Macaca fascicularis: one gene and its partners. The main gene of each other region encodes a partner of the protein of the gene in region 3 in a complex. Links are inferred from orthologs where the notes say so. Each region holds a gene or a part of one and is shown on either strand. Other genes may lie near its edges. The genes, in order: BMP10, INHBB and BMPR2.

Evidence for each region.
Region 1: the proteins of BMPR2 (region 3) and BMP10 are in contact, whole or in part, in a crystal structure (PDB 7PPA), measured with the Homo sapiens proteins. The link is inferred for Macaca fascicularis from reciprocal best matches to the Homo sapiens genes BMPR2 and BMP10. Residues at the interface, in NP_001195.2 of Homo sapiens: Asp38, Ser64, Tyr67, Leu69, Lys81, Cys84, Trp85, Ser86, Ile88, Gly89, Asp90, Pro91, Gln92, Glu93, Thr103, Thr104, Pro105, Pro106, Ile108, Tyr113, Phe115; in NP_055297.1 of Homo sapiens: Tyr329, Lys333, Asp338, Ser339, Trp340, Ile342, Ala343, Pro344, Pro345, Gly346, Tyr347, Glu348, Glu395, Pro396, Ile397, Ser398, Ile399, Leu400, Leu402, Val407, Tyr409, Phe411, Ala417.
Region 2: the proteins of BMPR2 (region 3) and INHBB are in contact, whole or in part, in a crystal structure (PDB 7U5O), measured with the Homo sapiens proteins. The link is inferred for Macaca fascicularis from reciprocal best matches to the Homo sapiens genes BMPR2 and INHBB. Residues at the interface, in NP_001195.2 of Homo sapiens: Tyr40, Tyr67, Leu69, Val80, Lys81, Trp85, Ser86, His87, Ile88, Gly89, Asp90, Gln92, Ile108, Gln109, Tyr113, Phe115; in NP_002184.2 of Homo sapiens: Phe309, Asn318, Asp319, Ile322, Ala323, Pro324, Gly326, Tyr327, Tyr328, Thr379, Met380, Ser381, Met382, Leu383, Phe385, Asp386, Asn390, Ile391, Val392, Lys393, Asp395, Ile400.

The regions. Positions count from the first base shown.
Region 1 is NC_088387.1:53,085,533-53,090,212, reverse strand, and holds the start of BMP10 (bone morphogenetic protein 10), read right to left. Parts: upstream 3,176-4,680; 5' UTR 3,138-3,175; coding exon 2,804-3,137; intron 1-2,803. UniProt on the Homo sapiens protein: Required for maintaining the proliferative activity of embryonic cardiomyocytes by preventing premature activation of the negative cell cycle regulator CDKN1C/p57KIP and maintaining the required expression levels of cardiogenic factors such as MEF2C and NKX2-5.
Region 2 is NC_088386.1:11,399,486-11,404,166, reverse strand, and holds the start of INHBB (inhibin beta B chain), read left to right. Parts: upstream 1-1,646; 5' UTR 1,647-1,683; coding exon 1,684-2,131; intron 2,132-4,627; coding exon 4,628-4,681. UniProt on the Homo sapiens protein: Inhibins and activins inhibit and activate, respectively, the secretion of follitropin by the pituitary gland.
Region 3 is NC_088386.1:98,427,662-98,431,640, forward strand, and holds part of BMPR2 (bone morphogenetic protein receptor type-2), read left to right. Parts: intron 1-1,843; coding exon 1,844-2,016; intron 2,017-3,979. UniProt on the Homo sapiens protein: On ligand binding, forms a receptor complex consisting of two type II and two type I transmembrane serine/threonine kinases.

The DNA of each region.
Region 1 (4,680 bases), on a different chromosome or scaffold from region 3:
ACCTGTCAAAACACTCTTTTTTCCCCGTAATTTTCACGTTTTCACTTGTTCTTCTGACCCTTGGAAAGCCCTTTCACCTCACCTCCACCTATCCAGCTCTGACATCTCCTGTAAAAGGCTCCCTTACTTCTTTATCTGAAAGTTCCCTCCCCTCCCCTCTGAAATCACTTGAGCACTTTACATCTCCTTTGATCTTTGTCATTTACATCCTTATATTTCAGCCATCTTTTTATGAATGAATTTTCCCAACTAGATTGCCATCCTCCTGGTTTGAATGGCTCAAAACTCCCTTGTATGTCTCTGTCCTACTATGATGGCTTAAACAGAGGTAGTGTTTTAAAAATATTGATTAGTTGATGATTCTAGGCATCAGACTAAATTGATTTATGTGCGTGACATATGACCTTAATCCATCATCAAGCTCTTGGGTTGGGCTTGGGAATTATTCTCCCACTCTTAGAAGGGAGGAGACTTGACTCCCCATGGACAGGGAACATGGAGGAGTAGGCTGGCTGCTCTACCCAGGAGAAAAGTATAAAATAAGAGCTCACTGTAGTGGGAAGAAGGCATTACAAAGCATACAAGGAAGCTTTTGATGTTAATGGATATATTCATGATCTTCATTGTGGTGATGGTTTCAATGAATGTTACCTATGTCAAAACCTTTCAAATTATACACTTTAAATATGTGCAATTATACTTTTATACACCAATATTTTTATAAGTCAAATATACCTCAAGAAGACTGTTTTGAAAAAGTAAGTTCGCTGTGAAGTTCTGTGCATGTGCAAATGCAGTAAGCAATAGACTGAAGAGTTACATTTCAGGGCAAGAGAACTAATGTTTGTTGACAAATTTCTCTTGCCAGATGCTTTGCAACCATGATCTTCTCTGGTTCTCACAATGACCCCATAATGCAGGTATTGATTCTCTGCTCATTTTGCACCAGAAGAAATCAAGCCTCGATGCAGAGAACTGACTTCCCCTGACAAGGTGATAAAGGAGCAGTGCTAGGAATTGAGGGCATGCTTTTTTCACTTTGGAGGTGGCACTTTTTTTCCTAAGATGATGTAGGTTTGGAGTTTTTTTTTGGTCTTTGTCTCCTAGGGAGCTGCACTAAGCAGATCCAAAGAGTAAGAAGAGAGGCAATAGTAGCCAACAGTGTGTGCCCTGTGCGATTTCTGTCCTCAGGCTGCACATTTCCTGCAGACGGGCCGAGGTGCTGGCGGCTGGGTTGTTTACTGAGAGATGTGTGTTCCTGCCCTCAATAATCTCCAGTAATAATAAGCACAGTAAACTCCACATCCTGACCTGGATCATCCAGATACTCTATGAGAGAAGTGAGAACGGAAAATGTTTCTACTTTTCCGGGGGATGCAAACAACATTTTCTCACCGGCACCCGGAGCCAGACACTTAGGGCTCGGTGCTGAGAAGTATTAGGGAGGGTTCTTACAGGAGGAGGTTGTTCATTTTCAATTCAGACTCCCCACCAAAAGGAATCTGTAATCTCATCTTGCCATTTCCATGAGAAAGATGTTATGAAATAGAAATTTTGTCAGCCAACTCAATTTTAAAGGCAGATAATATCTTAGAGACTAAGGAATACCTACTCAACATTTATTCCAGCACCTAGAATATTAAGTAACTCATTAGTAATCACTGAAGTTGGATCAGCACTTCATAGTAAATGGAGTGCTTTCTTATCTGTAACCTCTTTTGAGTCACTCAACTATGTTACTAGGTATTATTACCCCCACTTTACAGATGAGGAAATTGAGGCTCTGAGTCATCAGCTAATTATTTACAACCACTAAGCCAACCAGCCCTTAAAATTCCAAGCCCTGAGCTATTTCTTCACTATTACCTTTCTTCTTTTGAGAACATCTGGCCAACATTGATGGGAAGCTTCTTTTATACCTGTTTAGTGACTATAAAAACATAATTGGCAAATATTAAATTAGTTCATTTGGACTATCAGCTTCTACCATGGATATTTAGATATCAGAGTTTTTTTTCCTACCAGGACCATATTAAGCAAAAAATAAAAAATAGAAAATAAATAACTTGCTAGCTCATTAGATTTAGTTACCAAATTTAAAGACTGAAGAGAAGAAAACACACTTTTCCCACCAGTAATTCAAAGCTTGTACGTTGCTCTTTATAAAGACGGAAATGATGAGCTGGATGATTAATGGGCCATCCACACTTCCTGGAAACTGTAAACAGTGCTTTAAGGATGTACATGACACATCAAACAACATAGCCTTAGGAAGAATCTTTAAAATATATTTCCATCCTGTTTGAATATTTCTTAAATAAGGTCACAAAATAAAAACTTATCAAAAGTTTCAACAAAACACAAATCACAACTCGATGTTTTTTGACTGATTTTATCCTTGGTATTCTAAGTAGAAGTTGAGAAATTTTTTAGTTAATTAAAAGCCCAAATGGCAATCAAGGCCTATTTGGAAAATGACAAAGATACGGCAGTAGACCAACATTAATTCTTTGTGTTGACTGGTGTTCAAATTAACATTTTTTAACAGGACCCAATGATGATGTCAAATTGATAGATATTTTGTGGCTTTGGATTAAAAGATGTTTGTAAGTATTTATTGAGGTTCTGAAATGACTATATAAACGGTATAGAGCAAAATGTGCCTTGTTTTAGTGTTATCTGTATGTATTTAACATCCTTATATAGATGTATTTAGCCTTACCTATATCATTCCCATGCATTGTAAATTTACTTATCGTGTCTTGAAAAAAATCCAAGCCAAATTTCATCAGCAAAAACTTACCTTCATTCTTGAAACTCCGAATGATGTTGGCAGAGGGCATGGAGGTCCGATCTGTTGCAAATTTGTTGTAGAGTTCCAACATGTACTCTGGTGGGTCCACCTTGGCTGAATCCTGCGTGGGGATGTCAGAGAGGTTTAGTGTCTTGAGAAACTCATCCTTCATGCTCTGGAGCAGTGTGTTAAAGTCGACACCATCTTGCTCTGAGAAAACATCATCAAAAAGGGGCATATCTTCTTCCAGAGGAGACTGCTCTAGGCTCATGATGGGGCTCCCAGAAACCGAGTGAGCTGCCAGGCAGAAAAGAGCGCACAGTGTCAGGCCCAGAGAGCCCATGACTCCGCTCGAGCCCCTAGGCCAAGCCAGGAAGGTTTAGCTCTCCTGGGCTCTAAGTGGCAGTTTTATCTTGTGGAGCGTAAATGTCTCCTGTCACTGGAGACAAGTTTGGAAACTCTTCCTCTCTCTCTCCCTCCCCCTACCACTCTTCCTCTCCCCCTAAAAGTCAGGTTGCAGTAATTGGATAACAAAATCCCCTATAGGGGCCTAGCCTTTCTTATCTCCCTAGTGTAAACTTGTGCACCAGAATTTGTTTCTATCTTGCAATCCTTATTTCTTTTAATGAGCATTTTGTAAACATTTCCACATTCTGACACTGGTCGAGAGATAGGACAATTTTCTCTTTGCAAAGGCTCTGCTTCTCTTCCCTTCAATTCACTTCCTTTCAGCAGGAATGCCTCAATTCTGTTTTTATGGGGCTTAGTTTCACACATGCATATAATAGGTATAAGAATCAACATAATGCACATCAGTGGTGATACATAGTAATTTGAGTGGTAGGGCTTACATCCTCAGATAAACACTTCTGAAGACAGACCAAATATCCAAACTTTCCAAGTTTAAGTTAATGGCTATAAATGGATTATATAAGTTTTTAGAAGTATACCTTTTTAGAAACAGGAAAGTATAAACTTCATGATTGATAGCCTTTTTTCCTACCTATTTGATCTGGCTAAAATGGCATGTGAAAAAGAGGCAAGTGCTTAGTTATAGCGGCAACTAAAATTGATTAGATGCTTCCTACAAACAGGCATTGTACTGAGTGCTTTACATCTATCATCAGGTGTGCTCCCGTAATAACCCTATCATTATCTCTATCACATATATGGGTCAGTGAAGTTATGTAGCTTGCCAGAGGCCACAAACCTGCAAAGTGATGGAGTTACAATTTGAACCAAGGCAGTCTGATTCTTATGAAGAATAAAACCGTCACACTTTTAAACACAATTCCACCATACTAGGGCATGGGCAATAATGCTGAGAGGCCAGCACATCCCCAGATCATCCTGGAGGCAGGAGGCAGGCAGAAATTTGCAGTTGGATATGGACCTCAGGTCCTCCACCTGTGCAATGAATTGTTAATATGACCGGCATCTCTGCCAAATTCATCCTTCTGACTCAATCAAATTGTCATCAAGAGGTTCCAGCAAAAGCTTGGTGTGATGGTTAATACTGAGTGTCAACTTGATTGGATTGCAGGATGCAAAGTATTGATCCTGGGTGTGTCTGTGAGGGTGTTGCCAAACGAGATTAACATTTGAGTCAGTGGGCTGGGAAAGGCAAACCCACCCTTAATCTAGGTAGGCACCATCTAATCAGCCGCCAGCATGGCTAGAATATAAAGCAGGCAGAAAAACGTGAAAAGACTAGACTGGCCTAGAGTCGCAGCCTATACCTTTCTCCCATGCTGGATGCTTCCCGCCCTTGAACATGGGACTCCAAGTTCTTCCGTCTGGGGACCTGGACTGGCTCTCCTTGCTCCTCAGCTTGCAGACGGCCTATTGTGGGACCTTGTGATGGCGTGAGTTAATACTTAATAAAC
Region 2 (4,681 bases), about 87 Mb from region 3:
CGGGGGCGGCCACGGCGGCGGGAGTCGCCTCTGCCGGTTGGGGAGGGCGGCGGCTGGGACAGGCGCAGGGCCTGCGCGGCCGCGGGGAGGGGGCGGTGGGCCGGGAGGAGCGCCCGGATCCAGCGCCCGGAGCCCGTCGGTGCCGCTGGCCGCCTAACTGGGCAAGGGTCCGGGGCGCCCACGTGGTGGGAAAGTTTCGAGGTAGCAAAAGTAGCCGGGCATTGCGGGGGGTGGGAGGGGAGGGGAGGGGAGGGGAGGGGAGAGGGCCGGGTCGCCCCTCCTTCTCGCGAAGGCAGAAAGGAAAAAAGCGGTGGGAAGCGGGGGTGAGCGCGGGGAGCGAGCAGCCCCAACCTGAACAGATTCCGCCTTCCCCTCCTCCCCCCACCCCGGGAAGCCCGAGCGGGGAGGCACGGACCGTCTCCTCTCGCACGGGCAGGACGACACCCTCCCTCCCCCCCTTTTTTCTGCCAACGTCTATCTCAACGCGCGCGCACATACGGAGATTGTGCGGCTTTTTTCCCCCTTGGGAGAAAAAACGGGGAGAGTAAAGGAAGAGAGGGCAAAGAGAAGAACTCCTCCTCGGCGAGCTCCGCACTCCGTACCGCGGCTCGGCGCGGGGACGCCGCCGCCGCCCGCCCGCTCTCTCCCGGCCCTGCGGCGGGTGCCAGTGCGAGCGCGAGCGAGGGCACCGCACCCGGGGACGCTGCGAGACTTTTCGGCGCTCGAGCCGACCTCGCGGCCGCCGCGGCAGGCAGAAGAGACAGGGGCGAGAAGGGCCCTGCCTCCTCCTCGCCTTCCTCGCCCGGAGCCCCGCGCCCGGCCGGGCCGCGCAGGCAGGCGGAGGGAAGGAAGGAGGGAGGCTGCGAGGAGGCGGGCGGAGCAGAGGCCACGGCGAAGCGCGCTGCGGCCGCCCGCCCGCCCGTGGATGCGGCGCCCAGGGAGCCTGGAGACAACTTTGCCGTGTGACGCGCCGGGAGGACTGCAGGGCCCGCGGCCGAGGGCTCGGCGCCGCCTGTGAGCGGGCCCGCGCGGCCGGCTCTCCCGGGCACCGCGCTTGCTCCGCGCCACTGCCCGCCGGCCCGCGGCGAGGACGACCTGCCCGTCTCCGCCGCCGGCGGCCCTTCCCGGCGCGAGGCAGTGAGGGCGAGGCGCTCAGGTGCGAGCGCGGGGCCCCGCCGCAGCGCCCGCCGCAGCGCCGCGCCAAGCCGCGCCCGGCTCCGCTCCGGGGGGCTCCAGCGCCTTCGCTTCCGTCTCGGCCAAGTTGCGTGGACCTGCTCTTTCGCCACCTTCCCCGGCCGCCGGCCGAACCGCCGCTCCCACTGCCGCTGCTTTCGCTTCACCCGAGCCGGGGCTGCGGGGCCCCCGACGCGGAGAGGATGGGGAGAAGGCTGCAGATGCCGAGGCGCCCCGAGACGCCCGTGCAGCAGTGACCCGCGACCTCCGCCCCGTCCGGCGCGCCCCTCGGGCCCCCGGGGCCCTCGGCGCCCCTTCCCCGCCGCGCGGGAACCCCCGCGGCCCGGCCGGCCCCCTCCCCCTGTGAGCCGGCGGCGGCCCTCCCGGCAGGCGGGCGGGCGGAGGCCCGGGCGGGGGCGGGGCGGGGCGGCGCGCCCGGAGCCCGGAGCCCGGCCCTGCGCTCGGCTCGGCTCGCCTCGCGGCGGGCGCCCTCGTCGCCAGCGGCGCACCATGGACGGGCTGCCCGGTCGGGCGCTGGGGGCCGCCTGCCTTCTGCTGCTGGCGGCCGGCTGGCTGGGGCCTGAGGCCTGGGGCTCACCCACGCCCCCGCCGTCGCCTGCCGCGCCGCCGCCACCCCCGCCACCCGGAGCTCCGGGTGGCTCGCAGGACACCTGTACGTCGTGCGGCGGCTTCCGGCGGCCGGAGGAGCTCGGCCGAGTGGACGGCGACTTCCTGGAGGCGGTGAAGCGGCACATCTTGAGCCGCCTGCAGATGCGGGGCCGGCCCAACATCACGCACGCCGTGCCCAAGGCCGCCATGGTCACGGCCCTGCGCAAACTGCACGCGGGCAAGGTGCGCGAGGACGGCCGCGTGGAGATCCCGCACCTCGACGGCCACGCCAGCCCGGGCGCCGACGGCCAGGAGCGCGTTTCCGAAATCATCAGCTTCGCCGAGACAGGTGGGTCCGGTCCTCCGGCTGTCTGCCGCGGTCCCCGCTCGCTCCCGCTTTCCCTCTCCTTGCCAGCTCCGGCTGCTGCTGCCGCCGCCGCCGCCGCCGCAGCCCGCGCGCCCTGGGGGCAGCCCGGACTCCCGGGAGGGCTCCTTCGGCCGTGGCCCTGCGCGCTCCGCCCGGGTTGCAGTCCTCTTCCCCCAGGCCGCAGACCCCCTTCCTGGTGCCTCAACCCCCCGCCGCCGAGCGCCTGGCCCTCCACCCCTGCTCTCCGGAATCGGGCCCCAGCGCCTCTGGGCGCGCGTCCCCCTCCCGGCAGATGCGCGCGGCCCTGGCTCTGCGGGCACTTGGTTGGTGATTGCTTAATGTTTTTGTTTCCCACGATCGGAGTGTAGGCTCAGCAGTGTGGATGGAGATGTGTGTGCTTGTTGATATACGTGGGCCGGAGGAGAGAGAGAGTATGTGTGTGTCTGTGTGTGTGTCTGTGTGTGTGTGTGTGTGCCTGCGTGAGAGGCCCCTGGGGCCGCTTCCATCACCGGCGGCGTGGGCTTGCCAGGATTGCTGAAGCCTCGCTGGGGAGAGCTAGGCAACCTCTCTTCCGATTGTGTGGGCACTGGAATCGGGCGGAAGGCAGGCTTCTCAACAGGTCCATCATTTACACAGAGAAAGCCGCGGCTCGGGGACAGCCCCGTGCCTTTCGGCTTGCCTGGCAGCTGCAGCAGACCCCTCGCCCGAGAGGCGCAGAGTCGTAGTTAACAAAGGGTATGGCTCCTTTCTGGAATCCGCACCCCCCCACTCGGCCCCAGATTGCAAATCTCTAACACTGTCTAAATATAAAAATCAGGGAGAGAAAAATCTTTCGGAACTTTAAAAGAAGAAGAAAAATGTGCCCGCGCCAAAATGCTGCAAGTGCTTTCGACTCCGCTGTCCTTTTCAGGACTTGAATGAGCCAGGCTGGCTTTTGTGCCTGGAGCTCGGCCCCATTTGTGCCGAGGGGACTGCGGAGAAGGTCGCAGAGGGGGAAGCCCCGGTGCAGTCAGGGCGGGGGCAAGCGGGGAGCCTGGGTGGGGGGAGCGGTTGTGCCCCTGGCTGTAAATGCCCCCCACCCCCCCCAGGCAGCAGGCAGCCTGGGGATGAAAAGGGATGAAAAGTTTTGCATGGCCGGGTGTGGAGAAAAGCAGAGACAATCGGGGCTGGTTTGTGCTTAGAAAGAAATGCATTGCCGTTTTAGCTGTCCACTAAAGTGAGTCAGGGAAAGCTCGCCATGCAATTAGAGGGCTCGGATTAAAAGGTGCTTTGGGGCCCAGAGTTAGAAATGTGATTCTGGAAGGTCGAGGAGGCCTTTTGGTCCCGGTGGCACAAAATGACAGCGGGGGCTGTTATATTTCTGGTCCGTTTCACGGAGCCAGCTCTTTGACTTATAAATAACAGATTCAGGTCACAGGCAGCTCGTCCAAGACCAGCTTTTAAGGCTGCAGTTTCCCCCATTTCAAAGTCAGATGTCAGTGTTATTAGAGGAGCCAGGCGAGGCCTGAGGTGTAGGGGCTTGGGAGGGGCATGGTAGGAGGTTTGATAAAACCAGCCCTGACCACAGAGTTTCGTTATTTGTTCTTCCTGGAAAAAAAAAAAAAAAAAAAAAAAAAAGGAAAGGAAAACGTAGATTGTCAGAGGGAAGGGTCACTGAAATGTAGGATGAGAGGGGAGTCATCTCTTGATTGGCACAGCCTCCTTCTTGTTGAGCTGAATTATTGAGAAAATTAACAAGCTAGTTCCCCTACTCCTTGGAGATTTTGAACGTGCCATTAACGGGGAGCCAGAGTCTTGTCAAAGGATTGGACCTCAAGTTTTAAGGCTGAATGTCCTGTCCCTTGAAACTACTCGGAAATAAGGGCTAGGCTCTGCAGCCTGCAAAGCACGCGTTCCTATGTCAGAAACCTGAGCAGAGCCTGCTTGTTTGCAGTGGAGGTTCCACTGGGGGTTGGATCAGATCATACTTAGGTAAACACTGGAAAGAGGCAGTAGGTGGCTCAGCTTGATTTTGCAATGCACTAAGTTAACCAAAAAAAAAAAAGAAAAAAAGAAAAAGCCCTACTAAAACCACCCACCCCAAAATCCTCCCTGCGATCCTGGTTTTGTTTTTCAGATTTCACAGATACCCATAACAACTTGTTAAGATCTTGGCCCCCTGACAAGTTCTTCTGTTGTGCTTTGAGGCCTGACAGCCTGTCTCCAGGGAGCCCTGGCCTGGGAGAGGTGAGGCAGGATTTGATAGGCCCGGACCCTCCAGCCCTAACCTGGTCCGGGTTTCTCAATGGGAAATGATTTTCTCTGCCGCTCCCAGGTTACAGTCAGAGGCCCTGGCCCCAAGAACGGTATTTCTGGTCAATAACGTTTTCCAGCTGTGTGGCGAGTTGCATTCCAGCATCCTGCAGCAGAGAGTGCGTTTCCCCCATTGCCTCGTGTTCCCCTTGAATTAACTTGGCTCGCTCTTCCCCTTTTCCGCAGATGGCCTCGCCTCCTCCCGGGTCCGCCTATACTTCTTCATCTCCAATGAAGGCA
Region 3 (3,979 bases):
CTAATGTCCTTTGAGGACTCCCTTTAACATTTCTTGTAGGGCATATCAGCTTTTTTTTTTTTTTTTTTTTTTTTTGAGACAGAGCCTTGCTCTGTCACCCAGGCTGGAGTGCAGTAGCATGATCTCAGTTCACTCCAACCTCCGCCTCCTGGATTCAAGCGATTTTCCTGTCTCAGCATCCCAAGTAGCAGATATAGATATATACAAGTCTTTGTATAAACATATGGTTTCATTTACTTAGGTGAATACCTAAGAGTAGAATGGTTGAATCATGTGGATATTTAAAAACAAACCTAGCCTATTTTTTAAAAGGGAGTTAAAACTAGCTTTCCCCTGGCCAGGCGCGGTGGCTCACACCTGTAATCACAGCACTTTGGGAGGCCAAGGCAGGTGGATCACGAGGTCAGGAGTTCAAGACCAGCCTGGCTAACACAGTGAAACCCCGTCTCTACTAAAAGATAAAAAAAAAAACAAAAAAACAAAAAACAAACAAAAAACAACCAGGTGTGGTGGCAGGCACCTGTAATCTCAGCTACTAAGGAGGCTGAGGGAGGAGAATCGCTTGAACCCGGGAGGCGGAAGTTGCAGTGAGCAGAGATCGTGCCACTGTACTCCAGCCTAGGCGACATTGCAAGACACCATCTCAAAAAAAAAAAAAAGACTAGCTTTCCCCAAAAGGGAGACTATTGTAGGGAGACTATTGTTCATTGCTAATGAATAGGAATACTACAGAATGGGATTGTTTTTTGATACTACTGTTTTGGAACTAGTTTAAAGAAGAGATGTCTATAAGTTTTAAGGTTGGAATGAGGCACTTTTTTTTTTCTTCTTTTAAGGCAGAGTCTCACTCTGTCACTCAGACAGGCGTGCAGTGGCACGGTCTTGGCTCATTGCAACCTCTGCCTCCCAGGTTCAAGCAATTCTCCTGCCTCAGCCTCCCAAGTAGCTGGGAGTACAGACGCAAACCACCATGCTGGCTTTTTTTTTTTTTTTTTTTTTTTTTTGAGACAGAGTCTCACCCTGTCACGCAGGCTGGAGTGCAGTGACTTGATCTCGGCCCACTCCCTCCATGGTTCAAGTGATTCTTCTGCCTCAGCCTCCTGATAGCTGGGACTACAGGCGCGTGCCACCATACCCAGTTAAGTTTTGTACTTTTAGTAGAGACGAGGTTTCACTATATTGGCCAGGCTGATCTCAAACTCCTGACCTCGTGATCCACCCGACTTGGCCTCCCAAAATGCTGGGATTACAGGTGTGAACCACCACACCTGGCCAATTTTTTTATATTTTTAGTAGAGATGGGGTTTCACCATATTGGCCAAACTGGTCTCGAACTCCTAACCTCAGGTAATCTTCCTGCCTCAGCCACCAAAGTGCTGGGATTATAGGCGTAAGCCACTGCGCCCAACCAAGCACTCTTAACTGGGGGTAAAGGAGAAAAGCTCACCTAGAGATAGAAGATAGCCACATGCCCCCAAATTCCATCAAACTCAAAACTTATTTTTGAAGCAGAGTTAGTGACTGTTGATTGACATAATATAACTGTGAATTAACAACAATGACCTAAACCTGTGGCCTTGAAGAAACATCTGCGACTTATTGTTGCTTTTACCTTAATGAATAATTCTTCAGGGAGTTGAGGTAAATCCTGCTTGTTTACTTGTTCATCACCTTTTGAGAATGTTCCTTTATAAATCCTTGAAGCCTAAAATACGTTATTTTAGCTATGTAAAATATACTGGTTAAGGTAATTGATTTTTCTTTTACCTCATGTTGTGAACTGAAAAGTTCAGTATATATTTTTTTTAAAGATAGACGGTTTGACATGTACTTTGTCTTACAGGCAGTGAGGTCACTCAAGGAGACAATCGAAGACTGTTGGGACCAGGATGCAGAGGCTCGGCTTACTGCACAGTGTGCTGAGGAAAGGATGGCTGAACTTATGATGATTTGGGAAAGAAACAAATCTGTGAGCCCAACAGTCAATCCAATGACTACTGCTATGCAGAATGAACGGTAAGACCCTAAGGGGTGTGGCACCTGTCAATCAGTATTAGAAACTGAGACCCAATAAATAACAGAAAATAAATACCTTTAAACCAGCCTAATGGTTCAATGATTATCTCATACAGTCCAAAGTTATCATTTTTCTTTCAATATTCCTATTCTTCTATTGAACATTTTTGTTTGGTACGAGTGCGAGATGAAATCTGCATTTTTTTTATATGTAAAGGTATAGTGAAAGAAGTTAGTCTTTCTCTATTTATGGTCCAACTTTCCTGCAATAATAAAGGTAAAATGTTTCCATAACTCCAAAAGTTCATAAGCACTTCTGTGTAAATTGTCTCATTTATCCTTTGTTGTTACTATTCCTTCTTCCTCTGCTTTTTTTTTAAGTAAATGGAACTATGAACTTGCCTATCTAACCACTGTTTCACTGACACTAAGGTTTCTAGACTTCCTATCTAATGCTCTTTCTTATAGAGTATACTACTACTACTTTTACATGAAAGCAATTCAAAGGTCTTTCTAGTCCATCATTAATACTACTTTACAAGACTTTTTCTTTGCTAGAACTATGATTTTTGGTTCTAAATAAAAAGGCTTTTTAAAAATTCCTACAATTTGGAACTTTCTACGTCTGTATTTCTTTGTTCCATATTTGGGGTAAAAAAGCCTTTGTATGACTCTGTCATTTTGTCTAATACATGTTTAAAACTTTCAGAAAGGCATCCAGGAAAGGGTTATTGGAGAAGATTGAAATAAAAATAAACTCGATTCTTGAAACTTTTTTTTTTTTCCTGTGTGGTTTTTTGGGGTTTTTTTTGTTTGTTTGTTTGTTTTGTTGTTGTTGTTTGTTTGTTTTTTGGAAACTGAGTCTTACTCTGTCCCCCAGGCTGGAGTGCAGTGGCATGATCCTGGCTCACTGCAACCTCTGCCTCCTGGGTTCAAGCGATTCTCCTGCCTCAGCCTCCCGAGTAGCTGAGATTACAGGCATGAGCCACCATCCCCAGCTAATTTTGTATATTTATTAGAGACAGGGTTTCACCACGTTAGCCAGGCTGGTCTCAAACTCCCGACCTCTGGTGATCCACCTGCCTTGGCCTCCCAAAGTACTGGAGATTATAGGCGATAGGTGTGAGCCACCGCGCCCAGCCTATTTTCTGTTGTTCTAATTTGTGAAAGCCATTTATATTAGCCATAGGTCAAAAATTTGGTTTGCACTACTTTTATATAGGTTAAATTAGTTTCGGTTATAAACTCTTACACCTTATATATCAGCAAATCAAGAAAGTTAGACACTGGCTATTCTAATTATAAATTTTTTCACTTTACACATACCTGAGGACTGTCTTCTGCTTTCATCTCCCCTCATCTCTGTATTTCCCATGTCCTCTAGTATGATGTTTATACCTCTCTCAAAAGTCAGCTAAAGCTTTTATTTTGAATGCTTTCAAACTTTTCTTGAATGGTAAGAAAAAAAACCCTTGATGGCCCACCTTGATTTGGCCATTTTTTGCCTCCTGTGTCATTCGGCTCAACCTTCTGCATGCATCTTCTCATCTCCAGTCTCTACTAATAATTTCCCCAAAATTATCATTCATCCCATAGTTACTCTAAGTTTTATTTTACTGAATCTTACCCTCCATGTCTTTTCTTGTACTGTATAACAACTTTTTCTTCTTTTCCTCCTGTCATCTCCCTTATAAATAACGGACATTCCCAAGGAATGACAATGACAGCAAAGAACCCATGATAATTGGAGAGCAATTCTGAATCTTTGATCCTTTATTTGAACATCATATTCTACCTTATACCTTAGGCTCAAGGACTTTTACTGATATGACTCAGACTATCCCAGAAAGATATGCGCCATTACTAGGGTGTGCTTCTTAATGGAGGCCTTTGGAACAACCTAAAAGCTTATATTCTTTTTACCATTTGGCCATTGGAACTTAATTGATAACATAACTTTTGA